2 linked regions of the Lepisosteus oculatus genome follow. The protein of the gene in region 2 purifies or fractionates together with the protein of the main gene of each other region. This does not show direct contact. Links are inferred from orthologs where the notes say so. Each region holds a gene or a part of one and is shown on either strand. Other genes may lie near its edges.

Region 1 (9,236 bases), on a different chromosome or scaffold from region 2:
TAATACCCAACTTCCCAAATACAAAAGTCTGCAAAACAGTTCTATCTTGTAATCAACAAGACAGCATTTATATCATCACCTATATTTAAGATTCCCTATATATAAAGTGACTTTACAGCTCAAAAGCATGGGTATGGCACCACCAACTAACGTCCCTATAGACAGCTACTGGGTCTGTCTGAATACCTGTCAACAGGATGAGCAATTTCCACCATGCACATTTGCTGAAAAAATTCATGTCCTCGGGGGAAACTAGCACAAATACAATATTGTGCTTTCTCAATCTGCTCCCCACACCCATTCTCTGGTATTTCTCCAGGTGAAGCTATACCCTACAGATATTTTCTCCCTTGCTTGCCAAGTACAGCTTCCACTGAATGCTAAGGGTGAGGCTGTCTTAAAAAAAATCTCTTTAATCTCTTCTTTTGAAGAAGAGACATAAAAAGATCAAGAATTGTGCTGTTAATATGTTTTGGAGATTTGATTAGAGTCGCACCATAAATGTGAAAAAAGTTTGCGAAACTGTCTTAATCATCTAATTCAGGTTCTCTGTCATGTTAGACTAGAATTGTGCTGTATCCAACATGGATGAATGAACAGCACAAGAAGATCGTAGTTTCTTAGAGTGCAGTGTATTATAATCTGTTCACGAAGTGCACTGAAGAATGCTCAGATAAATGACTTTCCACTTACAAGACAGCTGCATCCATGCTAGCTGTTTAATATATAAAGGTATATAGTAATTTTAGACGTGCACATGAAGATCATTTATTTCCACCAAATTAGATTCTCGAGTTTATCCCCTGAATAGCATGAGCAATGATGTGTCGGTCTTTTTGCACCCAATTACACCTTCTATTTCTGAGTGCATTTTCATTATCGTGAACAGCAACCTAATTTGCACATTCGCTCAGGGGAATGAACACAAATGGAGCTAGTGAAAAGAAAAGAAAAAAAATCCAAACTAACACTCTAAATGGAACATGTTAAAGCTTTCCCTAATTAGACTTTGCTGTCATTTTAATAGTTGAAGCCTTAAAACTGTACGTAGTTTACAGCATGGCTGAAATCAGTGCAATCACAGTCCACACTCAAGTTTAATATCAAACATGACATAGATGTTATACATCAAAACAAAGCAGAAAAGGCAAAGATTCATGAAAAGTGGTGCAATTAGCAGCAAGAGCAATGTCAAATTGTTATGGGTGAAAATAAGTTCATTAAGAACGGGGTACATCATTAAGAACAGAGAAATGCAGATCCTACCTCTAGTGCCAGGGCAGTCTTGTCATAAGCACAAGGCACACGTTTCTGGATGGCTTTAGCCATTACAGGTCCATTCTGTGTGGAGGGCAAGGGGTTGATGACTGCGCCTGGGGTGGTAGGGGGGAGAGGGGAGGGTGTCTGAGGCTGGGCGTAGGCGTGGGCAGGCTCAGGGATGCCATAGCTGTTTGAATTCCTGTTGCCATGGAACTGGTGCTGATGTGGCGATGGTCTAACCAGCTTCTCTACGTAAGGCACAGGGATCATGCCCACTCGTCCCTCCTTGTTCCTGGCGCTCCACCACTGCTCCTCGGGTTTCTCCAAGATAACCAAGATCTCCCCCTTCTTGAAGGGCAAGTCCTCGGCATCGCTCCCGGTGAAGTCATACAGAGTCCGAACATACTCCAGATTCTCCTCGGGCTGTCCCACGGGCGCGGGACTGGTCCCAACAGACGGATTTGGGTATCTGAAAAGAGCAACGCACACATGACCCACTTCAACCCAAAAACAACCGTCGGGAACACAAAGCAACTCAATTAACAGTTTCGTCTCTTCAATGGTACCATCGGAACAAAGATTTTACAAAATGGTAGAAAACTGCTCTAGAAATAATTCCTGCGGCTTTGTTTAATACAAACCAAGGGGATTAAAAACCCCAGGGCATTCCTTGAAGAGCAGGGGTGTTAACCCTGGTGTTCTGGCACAATTTCCACCTGGTCTTGACCAATCATTTATTATTTCTTAAAACAGATCTATGCTTGTTTAATTGCTAAAGTGCATAAAAGCTAAGAAAACAAAGTTAAAAGTCTCAAAATAAAGCCCCAAAGTGCTCATTTTCAAATTGAGCAGACAATTTGAAAATGAAACCCCAACTGGTCATGTCACCTAAGGACTCTTCATAATGTTCTGCACTGCCTCTAACAGGTTATTTGAAATAAGACTGACTTCGAACTACAGAGTAACAGGTAAGAGAAACAAGAGGAGCCCACAAAGTAATATATCTCATGGGGTTTCTGTCTGCAACATGTAATACTAGTTGCTGTCACAACACCAGCTTCGCCGATTTCCTGGTATCCTTTCCTTATTTACAGATATACAAGCTAAAAGTTCCCCCAATGTTTCCGACAAAACCTAAACCCCCTCAAGCAAACCAAGCACTTCTCACTAAATTTGAGAGCTCGCGTTCAACCCAATATCACACTATTCTAGTGAGCGAACAGTAGTTTTATTCTTGGTCCATCTTCAGCATATCCCCCAAACAATGCAATCTTATTTCTTTTATTTCTGGCGGGGGGGGGGGGGGGGGGTAGAAGATCAAAGACCACATTAACGAGCCCGTCCAGCAAGCGAGCCTGAAAGGGCGATAGTTCCTTCTCGCCTCTCGATTCAAAATAAAACGGAAGTTGAGCACCCGAGAGCAAGTAAGGGGAAGAACTGACCAGAAAGGCTTCCAGGCAAAGCACTAGGTTTACACACAGACACACACAAAAACCAACACTAAACCCCCTCAACAGATAATAAAAAGAAAAACAGGAAATCGAAGTTCACAGCCCGCACACAAATGCGTTCACCCTCCTCCTCCTCCTCCTCGCTGCAGCCGCAGACCCCAACCCGATGGCACCCACCTCGGAGCCGGCTCGATCAGCGTCGTGGTGTCCAGGTAATGGATTTTGTAAAACTCCAGCAGGGCCGGCAGGTGCTCGAACTCCTGGTCGCCGATCTTGAACTTCTTGTTGGGCAGCGAGTTGATGATGTAGTGGGACACCTTGGAGTTCTCGGACACCGACAGCACGTAGTCCCCCGGGCACGTCGAGGAGTCCCGCACCAGGAACATGCCGTGCCTCTGCCCCTGCAGTCTGTTCTGCGCCTCCTGCCGCGACACCGGCCCGAAATACCAACTGGACCGGTCCGAGGGGTCGAACCGCGCGTTGGACATGGCGGGGCGGACTCGAGACGGGATCCAAATGATTAAGAACAAAAAAAATCAATAAAAAACGTCCGGTTTTTTTTTTTTGGGGGGGTGGGTTGGAAACGCCTAGTTTCGTTGAGAGCTCAAGGGCGAGTTTTCACCCACCCCGATCGCGGCACGAAGTTTTAAAACGATGGCAGCCCCGACCGGCAACGCCGATTTCCTCCCTGACGTTTCACAAGAGAGCTCTAGCTACGAGGCCGACTTGGACACATTATAATGCCGCCTTTTTCCACCGCCCGCTATGTCAACGACCTAGAAAAGGGCCCAAGCAGCAGGAAGGAGCGCCCGCTTTCTGGCAGCTCTTTAAGAAGCGCTCAACCATCTGCCGAAACAATGTTCTTCAGCCGCCGCTGCCAGTCCGTTGAACTAACGGGAAATATTATTGTACCGAACTGTCCCCCATCTTGCTCAACGGCGTTACGACTACGGCCCCGGCTCAACCCCGCAGATTTGCCGGCAATAATCAGCTCCCGAGACGGAGGGAGGGTGGGGGAACAACAAGGCTGGGGGGTCTCTCTCTGTCTCTCTCTCTCTCGACTCCGGTACAGAGTTTCCAAAAGCAGGCTGACGAAAATGGCGGCCTTCGCGCACGTCTCCCGAAAAGCAAAATGAATTGTGCTGCAGAACAGCCCGTCTCCAGCCTCTCGGGTGTCACCAATCCCCCCCCCCACTCGGCAGCGGATCTCGACGCTTTCGGATTTTTTTTTAAAACAAAAAAAAAACCCCACACAAAACGGACGAACGCGGGTAGGCCCTTACTCAGGTACGTTTTCGCGGCTCCCCCACTTCACCCTGTTGATACAGGAATCCGCCTGCCTGCCTCACACAGCCCGACTCAGAAATGGCGGCGGGGAGGGCGGGTCCGCGCGCTCCCAGCTCTACCCCGCGCGCAGGTGACGCGGCTTCTGCCTCCTCGCGCACCAAAGAGGAAGCGGAGAGAGGGGGGGCAGGCTCGAGCGCCCGTGCGGAGCCGTCGTGATCGGTCGCGGGTTGTTGTTTTTTTTTTCCCGTGTTTGTTTGTTGTTGTTGCTGCTTTTTAGGTCTACAGCGGGGTCCTTTCAAAAGCAGACATTATAAAAAGGCACCATCCTCGCCGGAAAAAAATAAATAAAAACAACCCCCCCAAAAAAATCGTCTCGCAGTTTGTAGACCAAAGTCAGCCAAGCCAAACCACTTAAATCGGGCCACGACGTGTCTTGTAAGGGGGCACCTACGTTTAATCAGAACATTAAAAGGCGCAATGTCGGTATCTTGAGACGTAAACGCACATCGTCTCGCTTAGATTTGACAGAATTTATGAAATGCGCAGGCAACGGTTCTGTACGACGCTGCACCGCTGGCCTGTAGTAGGTTTCTCACCCCTCCGGGGAACTGCTCGACCCCCTGGCGCTCATCTGCGGGCATTGTGCAATCGCACCATTGAGCATGCACGTTGGTGATAACCATCTCTTAAAAATTGTTCAAATAAGTGCTAACGCCAAAGACAGCTTTATGGCGGCAGTTTATACAGTACATCAGTACATTTACAGCGACAGCATGAAAAAAAACGTCCACTTTAATGCCTTTACCGTTCATATTTTGGGGGTTGTGAAAATACAAGCAGAAATGACCAGCACACTACACACATGCAAATGCAAATAATTATTTTTTTCCTTTAGCATATACATATAGGGACAGACTTTGAGGTTTCCACTCCCTGTTTAAACCTGCCAGCCAGACCGCAGAAATCTGCCACATCCTAAAGGTATTTTTAAAAGCAAAACATCCACTACCAACATCTCACACAGTTTGGAGCTCTATAAACATTAGATTTGAATCGTGTAAGACATTTCATTTCTTGTGAAGAACTCTGTGAAGATGGCTTTTGTGGAGATTTTGTTCCCTGCCTTGGAGACATTGGCAGGACGGTTATCCAGAGCACAGGTCTCCACAGTTGCAGTGTAATTGTGTTCAGAAATGAGTGCCTCGGCATTGGGATGCAGGAGACATACCGAAACCCCTCCTAAGTGCGTCGCTGATGAAGGGGATTGACAGAGAATGTCAGTTGTTTGTTGAGAGAGCTCCAGCATAACACTGTGGCCTAAAGCCAGAGATCCCCATTTCCTCATCTGTGCTGGGAATTCAAAGAAGGGGTTGGAAGAATTCACTTTTCCTACGAGGCTGGAAAAACAGGCTTTGAGTGTCCGGGTTGCATAAAAAGCCACTGGAACGCGGCCTAGCTTTTCACAGAGACCCAGTCTGGACGAATATAAATGGTTTTGCACCCACTGGTTCGTATTGGCGGACGCGTGCCAATTTCTCACATAACTCCCTGAGAGAGAGGACGAGTGCAAATTATCGATGTGCAAAAATGGAAATTTAATATTACTTACAATTTTGGAAGAGTGTACTTTAGCAATAATATGCCACGCATTGCATGCGTAACATATAAAGATGCTTTTTGCATTAATACACAAATTAGCTTACATTTCAATCTTTCTAAAAGCATAATGTTTGAGTAAGAAAGATATATTTTTAATTTAGATGAACATCGATTATAAAAGAGGATGTTGCAACATGACAAGCTATAAACAGAAGGGCTGTGTTTGCTCTAAAATGACAACGTGGATTGATTCTGTATGTATTTTAATCTTTTAATGCTCCAGGGTGAAAAGAATAAGCCTGCCTCTTTATATAATAAAAGAGGGTGAATTTATACAGTACTAATCTTCTCACATTAGTGTCTTCAGATCATCACTTTTTGTCAAGCCAGAGTATTGATCTGCTTCAGACTTTAATATGGTTTTTAGATATTAAAGTACCTACTTATATTAACTCAGATTTTCTTTCCAAAATGTACAGTATTTGAAATACATGCTTTCATTCACTATAGTGGAAATGCACTGAACTACACAACTGATTTTAATCACATAAGTTAATTTTATTTAAAAACATTTATAAAACATCTTGAAAACTGAAATATATGTTTGTATTTGCAGTAAAAATATTAAATGTAAAATGACATGATAAAACATCAGAGTACACAAAACACTTTTATAAGAATCACACAAAATAATGAAGCTGCAGAAATACTGTGAAGTTTTACATTTTTAAAATATGTAGCTTTAAAGACCTGTAAAGAAGCTATATCCCTATACAAACAGAAACCCATCACCAGTGCTCCTTCTATCATTAAGAGAGGTTTTTGTGGCTACACTCTTATTTTAAACCAAGTTTATCCAACACCCCTGTAAAGATAAGTAACACTTTATTGAACAATTGCAAATTCACGTGTGATTCATTACACAGTTGTAATCTGAAATAAACACCTTTAAAATTCTGTAACAATATATTATTTTTAAATTCCCGTGGAATTATAATGTGTCAATGTCAATAATGGGAATACAATAGAGTGTATCTGCTGTTTCAAGAATCATTTGCAAGCACTGAAATAAAAAAAAAGTTTTTTTTATACTTTTAATAGAATATTGAGGATGGGGACAGTTTTTCCACTTAAATCCTTTTCACAAAACTGAAATGAGACTTTTTCATGATGCAGGTCTTGGCCGTGTTGATCCTTGTGACATGAGTACCTGTAGGACTCTTTTTTAGTTTGACTTGTAGATTCTTAATTAAACCCTTAATAGTTTTCTACCCCTAACAATTAGCAGTTTGCAAGTTAGGTATGAGGAGTTATATATAGTATATATTACACTAGTTTTGAGTTTCACCTGATCATGGGGCAGAATTTGTAAAAAAAAAAGTAGGCCGTAACCTAGATTGTTTCCCTGTGGAAATCTGTGCTAATGCCATCCATGATAAGTGGGTGAGAGGCTCTGGAGATAAAAATTAAAAAATGTAGCACGCACATATAAACATAATACTTCTTCCTTCTTCCCGCTGAGCACGACAGAACTCCCTCATGCCTACATTTTTTTCTGTATTTCAATAGCAAAGGAGAAGTTCAAGGTGAAGTGTCTCAGGGATAAAATTGGGAAACACTTAGATAATTAAAGACAAAATGACTGATAAATTAATATTTCACTCAGGTTTCACCAAGGAAGAAATAGACAACATACCTCAGGATGAGAAGAGACAAAACCGCATACTAAACAGCATTAGCATAGAAATGCAGGCATGTTACAGCTACTAGAAACAATTAAGATACATCTTCAGTGTTCTACTACTCCTACTTAAGGAAACAAGAGATGCTATTCATAGTCCATTAACAAAGCTCTCACTGCAGTCTCTAGAGATGGGATGCAGCACTCATCCATGAAAAAAGTGACAAAATCAAACCAAGGCATCACAGACCAATGAATCTTAAATCCGACTACATGAAAGGTAATGAAAACCATAAGAACTACACCAGAGGGTCATCTGAATGGAAATTTAATTCTACAGTGCAGTCAACATTGATTTGGAAGCAGCAGGTTTTGTATAACTTGTTAGAATCCTTTTTGATAAAAAAATATTCATAATTTATACAGATAGAGCATATGAATGGCAAAGTACTGTCCCACTCTGGCAGGCTAAAAAGTGCTTTTTCGTCTTGACCAAAGAAACATGATTCGAGTTTTGAAAATCTTCAGATGTCATTCTTCCATGGAGTAAACAGTGAAACATTAGCCAGAGGACAAAAGTGGAAACTACAGGAAAGGTTGTTCCAGACTCCCACAAGTGACCCAACCATGTTTTTTTAAGATGATACAAAATAACAGGATTAGATCCCCTCATCACCTAGGGTACAACCACTATATAAGCAGGTATTGTATAAGGATATTAAAATAAGTTTATTTGTCATTTGCACACAACATGGATACACAACAGTTAGTCAAACCTCTCCGACAGCATCATTTGTTCTTATATCACTTAACAATGGGACGCTCCCTTCTGTAGTGGAATGACTACTGCAGCTACACTAAAATCTATAAAGCAGCAATAAGTGTAAAGCAGTCAGGGAATAAAGTGATTCTGGAAGAAAAAAGGTACAGAATGTCTTCTTGACTTGAACCCTAACATTAACAGCCCATAAAGCTTCTTGGTGCAGAGCCCATTGTTGTGACAGTTCTAACCAATTATCACACAAATGCATAATCCTCTTTACAGTTACTATTTGGCTCTGGCATTCAGAATCTGATTTGACCAGTGCAGTTCATTGCCGCTGCCAGAAACTGAGATTGTATCATCGTAAGCATTCTGCTGGGTAGAGGAAACTGGTTACATAATTTTACTGTATGGGAAGATTCTGTTTGGTAACAGGAAGCAGGCAGTTTAAAAATCAATCCCCAGACTTTCCTGGTGAAACAAAATCTATTTTAAGAATTCTCTGATGACGGCTGCATGTTGTTGTCAGCAATCTTGTTTAAACAACTAATGACTCAGACACTTAAGCAATTAACTATTATTTCTGTGAACATTTAACATGCAGCCGCCTTTATCTGCCTCTGTAATACACTATAGGTACACAGCTCATCTAAAGATATGCGTGTAAGAATGAGTCATTAGTCACATACAGTACACACTGGAAATGTCAGATTATCCACAACACAGAAATTTAGTCTACTAGAAAAAACACACAACGTCCATTTTGGTTAAAGCTGTTGTACAGTATTTATTGACCCTCCACAGAAAGATAATGTGCATTTAAAAGGAAACAGCTTTTTTTTTTATTTTAAACCTTCCATGCGTGAAACAGAAATCTGAAGAACCAATGCAAAAAAACTGTTTTTCTACGTAGAAAAATCAGTCACTTAAAAACTGGAAAGAGCAGAACATTATATGAGATCGTCACATAATCCTGGTAGGTTCTGAAATGTCAATGATATGAAATTAAGCCAGAACCTGAGACAAACATGGTTCATCTGATAATTTGTGGTAGACCCATACACGGTCCTCAGAAGACTCAATCAATTCAAATATGGAGTGTAAGTTATTCTAGTAGCGTTTTGTCCCATTCTATGTCAACGCACAAGGCACAAAGAGGTTAGTTTCACTGAAGCGACACCAATGAAAACAGGCA
Region 2 (9,428 bases):
AAAGTAACCTAGTCTTGAAAATTTGTATGGACAGACATACAGTGATCAGGAGAATATGAATGTGCCTTCCAGAAAAGATCAATAATAAAGCTCACCACATACACTGCTGGAAACACTGAAATCTAAATGAGTAAGGGACTGACTGATCTATCTATAACTCAGGTGCACAGTGTCACCTGCCTAGGAAGCACTGATGCTAAACAAGATCAAAAGAAGAACAAACACTGTATCTGCAGAACAAATATCTACAGTCAGGGAACAAACCATGACAACTCATTATTACGTTCTGATTTTAATATGCCATGCTTTTTGCCAAACATAGTTTACCATTTTAGCAACACTTTGGTTTTCAAACATACAATGCTGACAGGTCACTATAATAATAATTGCTTACACTTATATAGCGCTTTTCCAGACACTCCATTCAAAGAGCTTAACAGGTAATAGGGACTCCCCTCCACCACCACTACTACTACTACACCAGTGTGTGTTCCGTTTATGTATTTCATGATGTACAATTCAACATGAATAAGGAAACCAAACACTGTATCAGGAGAATACCAGGACATTGATGATGACGTTATCCGGTCAGTCGGATCCGACTCTCTGCGATTCTATAGGCCATCTACCGTCCTTCAGATGAGACGTAAAACCAAGGTCCTGACTCTCTGTGGTCATTACAAATCCCAGGGCGAAAAGAGTAGGGGTGTAACCCCGGGGTCTTGACCAAATTCCCCATTGGCCCTTACCAATCATGGCCTCCTAATAATCCTCCTCTATGAATTGGCTTCATCACTCTGCTCTCCTCTCCACTGATAGCTGATGTGTGGTGAGCGTTCTGGCGCACTATGGCTGCCGTCGCATCATCCAGGTGGAGCTGCACATTAGTGGTGGTGGAGGGGAGTCCCCATTACCTACTGTATAAAGCGCTTTGAGTGGAGTGTCCAGAAAAGTGCTATAGAAGTGTAAGCAATTATTATTATTATTATCTCTCACCACGCTTTCCGGTCTTGGACCAGGACATTACCCATACACAATATAATAAGCAGTTTTTCTTTAATCATAATTCTACAAACTGCAAATTCAATTACGCTAATTCCTGTAGGAAAAAACAAACACCTAAATAACACCACCTAATACTAGAGACATCCACATTATGAAATACTTGAGTTCATCATTCACAAATAATGTAACGTTTATATCAGGACTAAAGTTCCCTCACTACTTCAAGCAGAGAGTGATGCGGCACCATAAATAACCCATATGAAAAAAATAAACTCATATAGAACCCAATGTGCGGTTTAAGCAGTCCAAACCAGACATTGGAAAAAGTCATCAGCCACAGAAACACTGGCATAAAAGCCTGTTCTGTTGACTGCGGCTTAGCTGAATACACAATATTCTGAAAGTTTACGGACGTTATCAGCCACCGTTTTTATAAGTACAATTCCCACCAATCATGCAGGGATGTCTCTTCGTTTTACAAGTCGGAAAGTCCTGAATTACTTTGGAAACGGCACCCTTGCATCTCAAAGCGATGTCAATCTCTGATGTCTGCGTGGACGACTCCAAATACAAACTCACTCCACGCCGTGTATCGTTGCAGATGACTCCAGTTCATGGCGGAGAGCACGAATACACTTTCTGTATACGATTTACATTATTGTACCTTAAAACTATGGTGGTAGCTGTTGCACACACCACAAAAGAGTCGCATCAAAAGCAAGAGGTTTCATCACATCACAAGGAATGCTCTCTTCTTAACATTCCGGTATAAAACCTTGGGCACTTGTGTAAGCAACACGCAGTGCATGTGATGCAGGACAGCTCACCGGACCGCAGACGGCTCCAAACCTTGCGCCACGCTTTAGATGCGACACAATACCGACTACTGTTTGTGTTGTCTGTATGCAACAGGATAAAAACAATTTCGTTCTTCACATACCGATGCGTATAGCCTGGAGATAAAGAAATTCAAAACGCCAGTAGTTTGTCTGTAGCTCACGTAAACGTTGTGTTCGCACGCCCCTGTTGTGACAATTGCCCGTACACGGATGTATTGACGTGAAACTACCTCTTTCGCTTCATAGGAACAAGAATGAATGTCTGTACTCTTTTTAAGTCGATGAGAAAAATACCTTATATACGTCCCCATAAGTTCCGCTCCCAACTCGCTGAATGAGCTCGAAATCCTGTTGTGGGTTTCTCCTCAGGATCTCCCCGCTGGGCCGGGAAAAAGCTTCCATGGTAGTTACTTTTCTCCTCTTACATTAAATAAAAATCCGTTAAAAGGGGGGGAAAGGGAACGCGAATGGAATCCTGTTTAATTCAAAACAATATCCAAACTGTGTGCGATTTCCTTCGGGATTTTATTTCTTAAAGAAGGAAAGTTCTTATTTCCAAATATGGCTTCTGGTCCATTTCCTGCTGCGAAGAGAGAAAAGTGAGTGTGAAACACTGGCACACACATCAGGACACTATAAACAGATATAAGCGGGACCCACGGCTAAAATATGTGAGCAAAGCTACTGCGCAACGGAAAAGCTCAAAAGCACAGAATCGCACGTCTACCTCATAGTGCTACTAGCTGCAAGTCTTCTTGTTTTTAGCGTAATTGAGAATGAATACCACGCTACTACAACTCCATTTTAAATTCAGCACTATACACAAACACTGGGCAATTTAGCTGTAGGTTTCTGCTGACATTAAGTAGGTTCTTTGCGATGTTACAACTCCATATTTTTTTTAAAGTAGCGGTATAAACAAACTTGTATACTACACGTACTCTATATATACTATATACAGTATAGCTCTAGCTAAATTACTGTAAAACACACATTAAATGTAGTTACAATTTACATTACCACGAACAGGCTGCATTAAAAAGCAGGTGAACGTGAGCTGGCTTAAATTGCTCGACAGTGTTAATCGTCATATAAGGATATGTATATACTAATGAACAATTTCTCTAGTAGCTAGATGCTTGCACACCGTCCGTGCACGAAGCACACGCATCCCGAAACACAGCTAAACTCTTAAATACCTTGTTTAGGGATGATCGACGCCAAGGGCTTCGGTTCGGACACTTTCTCGAAGTCTTTGAAAACGATCAGACGTCGAATTGAGAAGGGTTTTTTTTTTTGTCCTCAAAAAATGTATATCTCTCCCCTAAGCGAGCAGCTCCACTGGCACCTCTCAGTCCTCCACTCCGCCTCACTTTCGACGTTGACATCCAATGTCACTTCCTCCCGATGACAACACGGCCAGCCTGATGTCTGACCCCTCGGCGGCAGCCACCAAAACAAGCAGGCGGCCGGCAGTCGTTTCGCGCCCCGCGTAATTCGAAAACAACAAGGACAACAACCAAAAAATCGAAATTTGTCTGAAATATTTTCTTCCTCTATTTCCCTATGCTTCCAGCGCCGCCGAAAACTGCTGCTGGAGACCTTCTCATAAAAAAAGTGAAAAGAAACGTGGCAGTGGGGAAAAAAAACAAACAAACAAAAAAAGACAAACCATCTGATAAAAAGGGTGTTTTCTTCGCCGTTCTGGGTCAGAATGGTCTCATAAGTAAAACAATTAAAACAGCAGGCTGCATTCCAGTTGAAGGAGCGTCATTTGATGCTCCAGGCTATGGATTGCGACAGATTATATTGGGAATTGGCACATACCGCCATCTACCGGTGAATATGCTTCAAACCAATCCAGATTTTAAAAATGAGGAGTAGTTAGGTCTACAACTCCATGTATAAAACTTCAGAATTTGCATTTTCCCCTTGAACGTGATATATACACCATGAAGTTTTTATACTTGCAAAGCAACTTAACTTTCTGTAAGACTAATTGCATTTACTTAATTCTCCGTTTCTGTCTTAAGGAAGTAATGGGTAGCGACGTTTATTCGAGAAGATAATACATCTTTCTTAAAGGTTTGGTAGAGTGCATTTTAAACATTTTGAAGTTACAGTCTAAAACGTTTCCAATGTACTTGTTACGTAATTCTCCGTGCATGGAAATTACCTACATTTGAGTGGGGAGCTACGTGTGGGGATACAGGTGTTGTTAATATCATTGTGAGTTACATCAACGCATTATTTCAGAATTACATTAAAGTCACGTTTGCTATACAGTAAAGTAGATATAAAATATGTAAAAAATATTCCTATTGTAAAAAATACCTTAACATTCAAAGGTGGCCTGCTCTTATCGCCGAGTACGTAAATCCTGACGGCTATCATTATGAAAGGCAAACTGCGTTAAAATCAAAGTCTGCCAGGAAAGTTATCCATATTTGTGCGCACATCAGAAATTTAATGAATGCCAGTGAAATTGAATCACTGAAACACTTTTCTTCCTTTAAGCCACATCTTTTACCTTTGTAAAGAAAACGTCTTCACAAACGATTGTTACCTGTATGAGGCTGCAGGTTAATACTACAAAAATAAGAAAAATAATAATACTCGTCCACAAATAACAATTGATAGTTTATATCCAGTATGTGTCTTTATTGTACCTTCCGTCGTGTATTGACTGTAGTTTCAACTGAACTTGATGCAGCTTCGACTTTAAATACCCCAGTGACGGAGTTTGATTTATGTTGTGAGTCACATTTCAAAACAGGCGCAGGTTACACACCTGGACATACGTGTTAGAATACAAGCTTATACATGTTCCAGGCCTTCAGGGTAAAAGTAATTTACCGAATCAAATATGACCGAAATGTCAAGGAAATAAACCTCTGTGATCACCTTCACCGTTGTTTTTAATGCAAAAATTATTCTGTTACAATAGGTAAAGCATCAACCGCTAATATAGTGTTAATGATGTGCTTAAAAGCTTGATAAAAACGCCCAGGGAAAGCGGTAGTTTTCCATCGCAAAGGTAATTAATCTATCCAGCGGGTTTCTCCGATGTTAGCCGAAAGGTTTCGTGTCCGTACGCCTCCCCCTGCCGACACTTCTCTGCTAATGCAGCTGCGAGTTGAAAATGAGGCTCCATCACCCTCCCGCTGCCGAGAGCATCTTCAGAGCAGATCGCGAAGGGAGCCTCCTACGTCTACATGCACACTGACGGATTTTTTTTCCCCCATTCACCACAAATAACACAGGCACACAGAGGGCTGAAAACAGCACCTACAGGACCATGGCCAGGAATCGTAAGGAAAGGAACAGCTGGGGTGAGCTCTTCTTTCTTATTTATCCGTGTTTTTGACAAAACAACACATTTGAAATGCAAGGGGTGGGAACTGGAGCAGTTCTGGTGAGTACCAGTGATGCCCGTGTGTACTGTATGTGTGTTTGCATTATGCACATTAATAATGGAGGAGATGCTTGGTGTCTGCAATTCCAGATTTTCTGCTTTGTGCAGACCCATCACCAGTATTCACCCTGGTACCATGTTCATCTTGCTTGAGATACACTGCTGGCCCTGTTCAGCACTGCATCGTCAGCTCCTGTAATAATAATAAGCCTCGCCTGGAGCCAGAGTAGTGTAGGCCTATCCCCGGCTGCTTTTCTGCTCACAAATGCAGTGCTACAAGGTGCAACAGCCACATAATGCATCTTATACTTTCTATATGGCCAGCAGTGTGAGGCAGAATCCAAAATCCAACCCAGCTTGACTGTGTGCTGCACAGGAAACAAATAGGAGTTTGAGAAAAAGGCTTGGGAGCAGAGTGTTGTTAAGTCACGCCTTGTCTTCTAATAGAATGAATTCACAACCGTATAGTCCAATAATACACCAATAACATCCCACAGAACATTTGTATGCTGTGAGCTTGCTGCAGAGGGTTTACGTATGTCCGTTTCAGAATTAGAAGTATTTATCTTAGTTGAAAATAACATTGGTATTAAAAATCAATGACAAGAGACGTATCAACCAATTTGTTTAATTGTATTAAAATACATACATAAAACATTAAACATTATGCAGCCGTTTTGACATTTGGTGTAGTACTGTGTTTCGGGCCTTAAATTGAGGTATCTAGTATGCTTGACTATTTAAAGATCACCTGTAGACGGAGCTGCTGACAGACACATGATCCATTAGCAGCCTGGTTTCTCTGCACAGATTTGTTAAAAGATTATTGAGAGCAGGCTCTGCATGCATTTTGCTTTCATTTCACTATCTAGTACTTTTTAGTGCAGGGAGGGTAGATATGCATTTTCTGTCTGCCAGCTAAATAATATCAATACCCTCAAAACCCAAATAATGTAATTAAGTGGGTTTGTTTGTTAGGACTACCACAATAAAGAGGCAATAAATAAGACAAGTGGGCTGTAGGGATCATTGTCAATATTTGCAAGACATCTTATCACATCATCTTTGAAACCTGCTCCTACATACATGGCAGATGGAGTTTTCTGTCTACAATTGTTTGATGAAATGACTGCACATCTGATTGGGAAGAACATCTAAAAAATCTAAATAACTAGAAATAAAACATGGTGAAGAGGCTACTGTGCCAGAATCAGATCAGTGTGAGGAAGCTGACAAGTTTCCATAGTTTGATTAGCTCTTGGCTTGGTCAGTTGCCTCTAAACTATTTTAATGTAAAGATGGTACTTTAAAAAATGTGTTTTTCCCCAGAAATACAGTAGTTCAATTCTGTTTTATGTTTTTCTCTTTATTGTAGTTTATGTGCCACAATGACAAAACATCTTGTTAATATAAAGCACCATGTGGCAAAGCATTCTAAATCACAACTTGAGTTAATTTGAAATAGTCTGCTTTTCTGTTTACAAACTTAATTTGCAGATTAAAGTAATCAAGAGCCGTGTCAGCCCATACAAACTTCCACTCCAGTAATAATCTGTGCCCCTGGGTTTTAAACAGATTTAGCATCTGGAGCGTCTGCTTGCTCCATACGCAGTTGTCACTGGGATGTGTCTAGTTCTTTGGTCAGAAGACAGATTGATGGGATAGTTTTCTTTTACCTGACTGGATCAACTGTAGATTGTAGTGTATCCAAAAGCTGAATACGTCAAGCTGGGATTTGATTTCTGTGTTAAGACCACATATAGTCAGTTTGATAGACTAATCAGACAAAGAGAAAGATTCTGGCACATCAATTATTATTCTGTATCTTTAATTCTGCAATCATAGTCCAGTTTGTTATTCATCCTTTCTACTACCTGTCTGGCTTCAAAAGCACATTCCAGATGTTTGGCCCACTATGCTGTTTCTTCTGGGAACAGTTTCAGAGTCATGGGTTGCCTTTAGCTTGCTGTTTGTCTGCATTGTTCTCGTCAGCAGGCCAAAGATTTCTTACATTTTTTCCCATTTTTTTAGTACCACAGCCTTCCCACATCCCAAAAAAGGAATTTTCTACAAAATAATTTTTCTCAAGACACATTCCCTTGCTGTTATGACTCGTTCATCTCTTTGGCCTATTTGCTTGTGCTGTGCAGCCTACGTGTTGGCCAGTAAGTACATGCAGTAAGGCCATTTATACTGAGTCATTGCCTGGAAAGCCTACCTATTGCACCACCCACTTAGCAATCTGAATCAGACGATAAACATTTATCATTAATGGCTTTAACATGCTACTCTGTTGGTGATGGAATCTATTGATTTTTAACTGCTTGTCAATTATACTGCAGTTCATAGGTTCTGCTTCTAACGAGGCACATTTTCCAGAAACCGGGAGTAGCTTTCAATAGGATGGTAGAAAGATTGGGAACACTCTCCTTGGTGGGAAAGTATTTACACTTCTGATAAGGAACTGTGTGGGTCTCACACATCTTCACAAATTATTTTTTTGTTCTTTGAGGAATACATTTCCACCTCTATGCTGCACTGACAATTTACTCCGTTTCCCACACTGTCTCATGAGCTGGGTAAAGCTAATCAGGACCGCTCATTTTTGGAACAAATAAAAAACAAGGAAAATGAGCGGTCCTCATAATCATTCAATAATGAATGTGGCAAGATGTAAACGTTTAATTCCAATGTGTACCTTTTAACGTACTGGATTAGTTTAGATTCAAACTTCATGTCATGTGAGTTGTATACTGTATGTGAACCGAAAAGTTGGAAAGCATAGATATATACTGTATATACAGTACACACCCAGGTGAGACTTAAACACCAATGTCTGCAGTATATTACATAACTTGAAACCATTATTTGTTCAGAGTTACAAAAATAGTTGTGAAAGTAGGGATTCCAGTGAATAAGAACAAGCAATATGTCTCCCCTATCACCGTCTTTGTACCTAGTGTTGCATATTTTTGAATAATGCATATACATAAATACATAGATACATAGGTGTACATGTATGTACCCCTACCAAAACTTTCCATATACTGTAATGTACCTATTAGTGGATTAGTCCACTTCCAGCAGCGATTAAACAAGTGGACGCATGGTATCGACATTTGTCTATCAAGACATGGGTCTTCTCAAAAGTTGTGAAATCTTCCACCTGTCCCTTTGATTGCGGTATTTACTCTGGCTAGAATTTGCATCTGCAACCACTGCTTGTAAACTCAGAGGCTGCAGAAATGTGACACATTAGGTAGGTCTGATGTTGCCTTTGAGTATACACCACACAACCATGTGCACTAAAAGCATACCATTCGTGAAGTCACATACATCAGCCTTCTACTGTGTAGCACAGCATGAAAGAAGAAAAAGGGCTAGTTTGCTACTGCTTTGTAGTACTTTGGAATCATCGGTCATTACATATGCTGGGCTATCTAACTACAGTGATTTGGATATTCTTGTTTGGCCAAATCCTATGGAATTTTATATTCTCATATTTTGATAGGGCAGGATATATGTATAAGATCAAGTATGTAGCTGCATCGGGCATGTGTAGGCTGCCAAGGAACCAGTAAAAGTTTATTCCATGCTGAAAAGAAACTAAATGAAACACCACATTTAGGCTGTGTAGCCTTCTTCAGGAGTACGTCTTCAGTTTAAACATCTTTAAACTGGTATACATATGTAGCATTCTATATACAAAGAATGATATATGAATTCAGTGCAAACAGTATTTTTTCCTCTGACAAGCACCATAAGCCCTCAGAATTTGCCATACTGAGCCAATAAAATCTCTATGTCAATATGCAACACAGCCACTAGCGACATACCATGATATAGACCAATTTTAACAACTCCCCTATTATTGTATTGTTGTGACATATCAGTCAGTTCACCATCATAACCTTTGGTGACCTAATGTTTGCTGATCTTACAGTGCTTCATCATTCTTTACACAATAAGATAGGTTAGATCACAATTTGTCAGAAGGGATGTTAGCTAAATCACATCTCATTTGATGGCCTCCTTGATCACCAAACCCAGTTTATTTCTGGCGGCTCCGTTACTGTGGTATTCCTAACGGAAATGTGCCGAAAGCTGTTCTCGTACGTTCGCGCGGCGTGAGTCGGAGCCCACTATTTGTGGGCTAACCCAGCCGCATG

The links.
Region 1: the proteins of map4k5 (region 2) and crkl purify together in Homo sapiens (affinity purification with western blotting; 3 studies listed by BioGRID and IntAct, with this or other methods). This does not show direct contact. The link is inferred for Lepisosteus oculatus from reciprocal best matches to the Homo sapiens genes MAP4K5 and CRKL.

The regions. Positions count from the first base shown.
Region 1 is NC_090717.1:9,392,181-9,401,416, reverse strand, and holds the start of crkl (crk-like protein), read right to left. Parts: upstream 4,125-9,236; 5' UTR 3,200-4,124; coding exon 2,889-3,199; intron 1,730-2,888; coding exon 1,267-1,729; intron 1-1,266. UniProt on the Homo sapiens protein: May mediate the transduction of intracellular signals.
Region 2 is NC_090703.1:13,012,805-13,022,232, forward strand, and holds the start of map4k5 (mitogen-activated protein kinase kinase kinase kinase 5), read right to left. Parts: upstream 3,619-9,428; 5' UTR 3,044-3,618; intron 2,444-3,043; exon of another isoform or gene 2,425-2,443; 5' UTR 2,247-2,424; coding exon 2,139-2,246; intron 1-2,138. Other genes in the region: atl1 (atlastin-1), read left to right, coding at 5,143-5,176. UniProt on the Homo sapiens protein: May play a role in the response to environmental stress. Appears to act upstream of the JUN N-terminal pathway.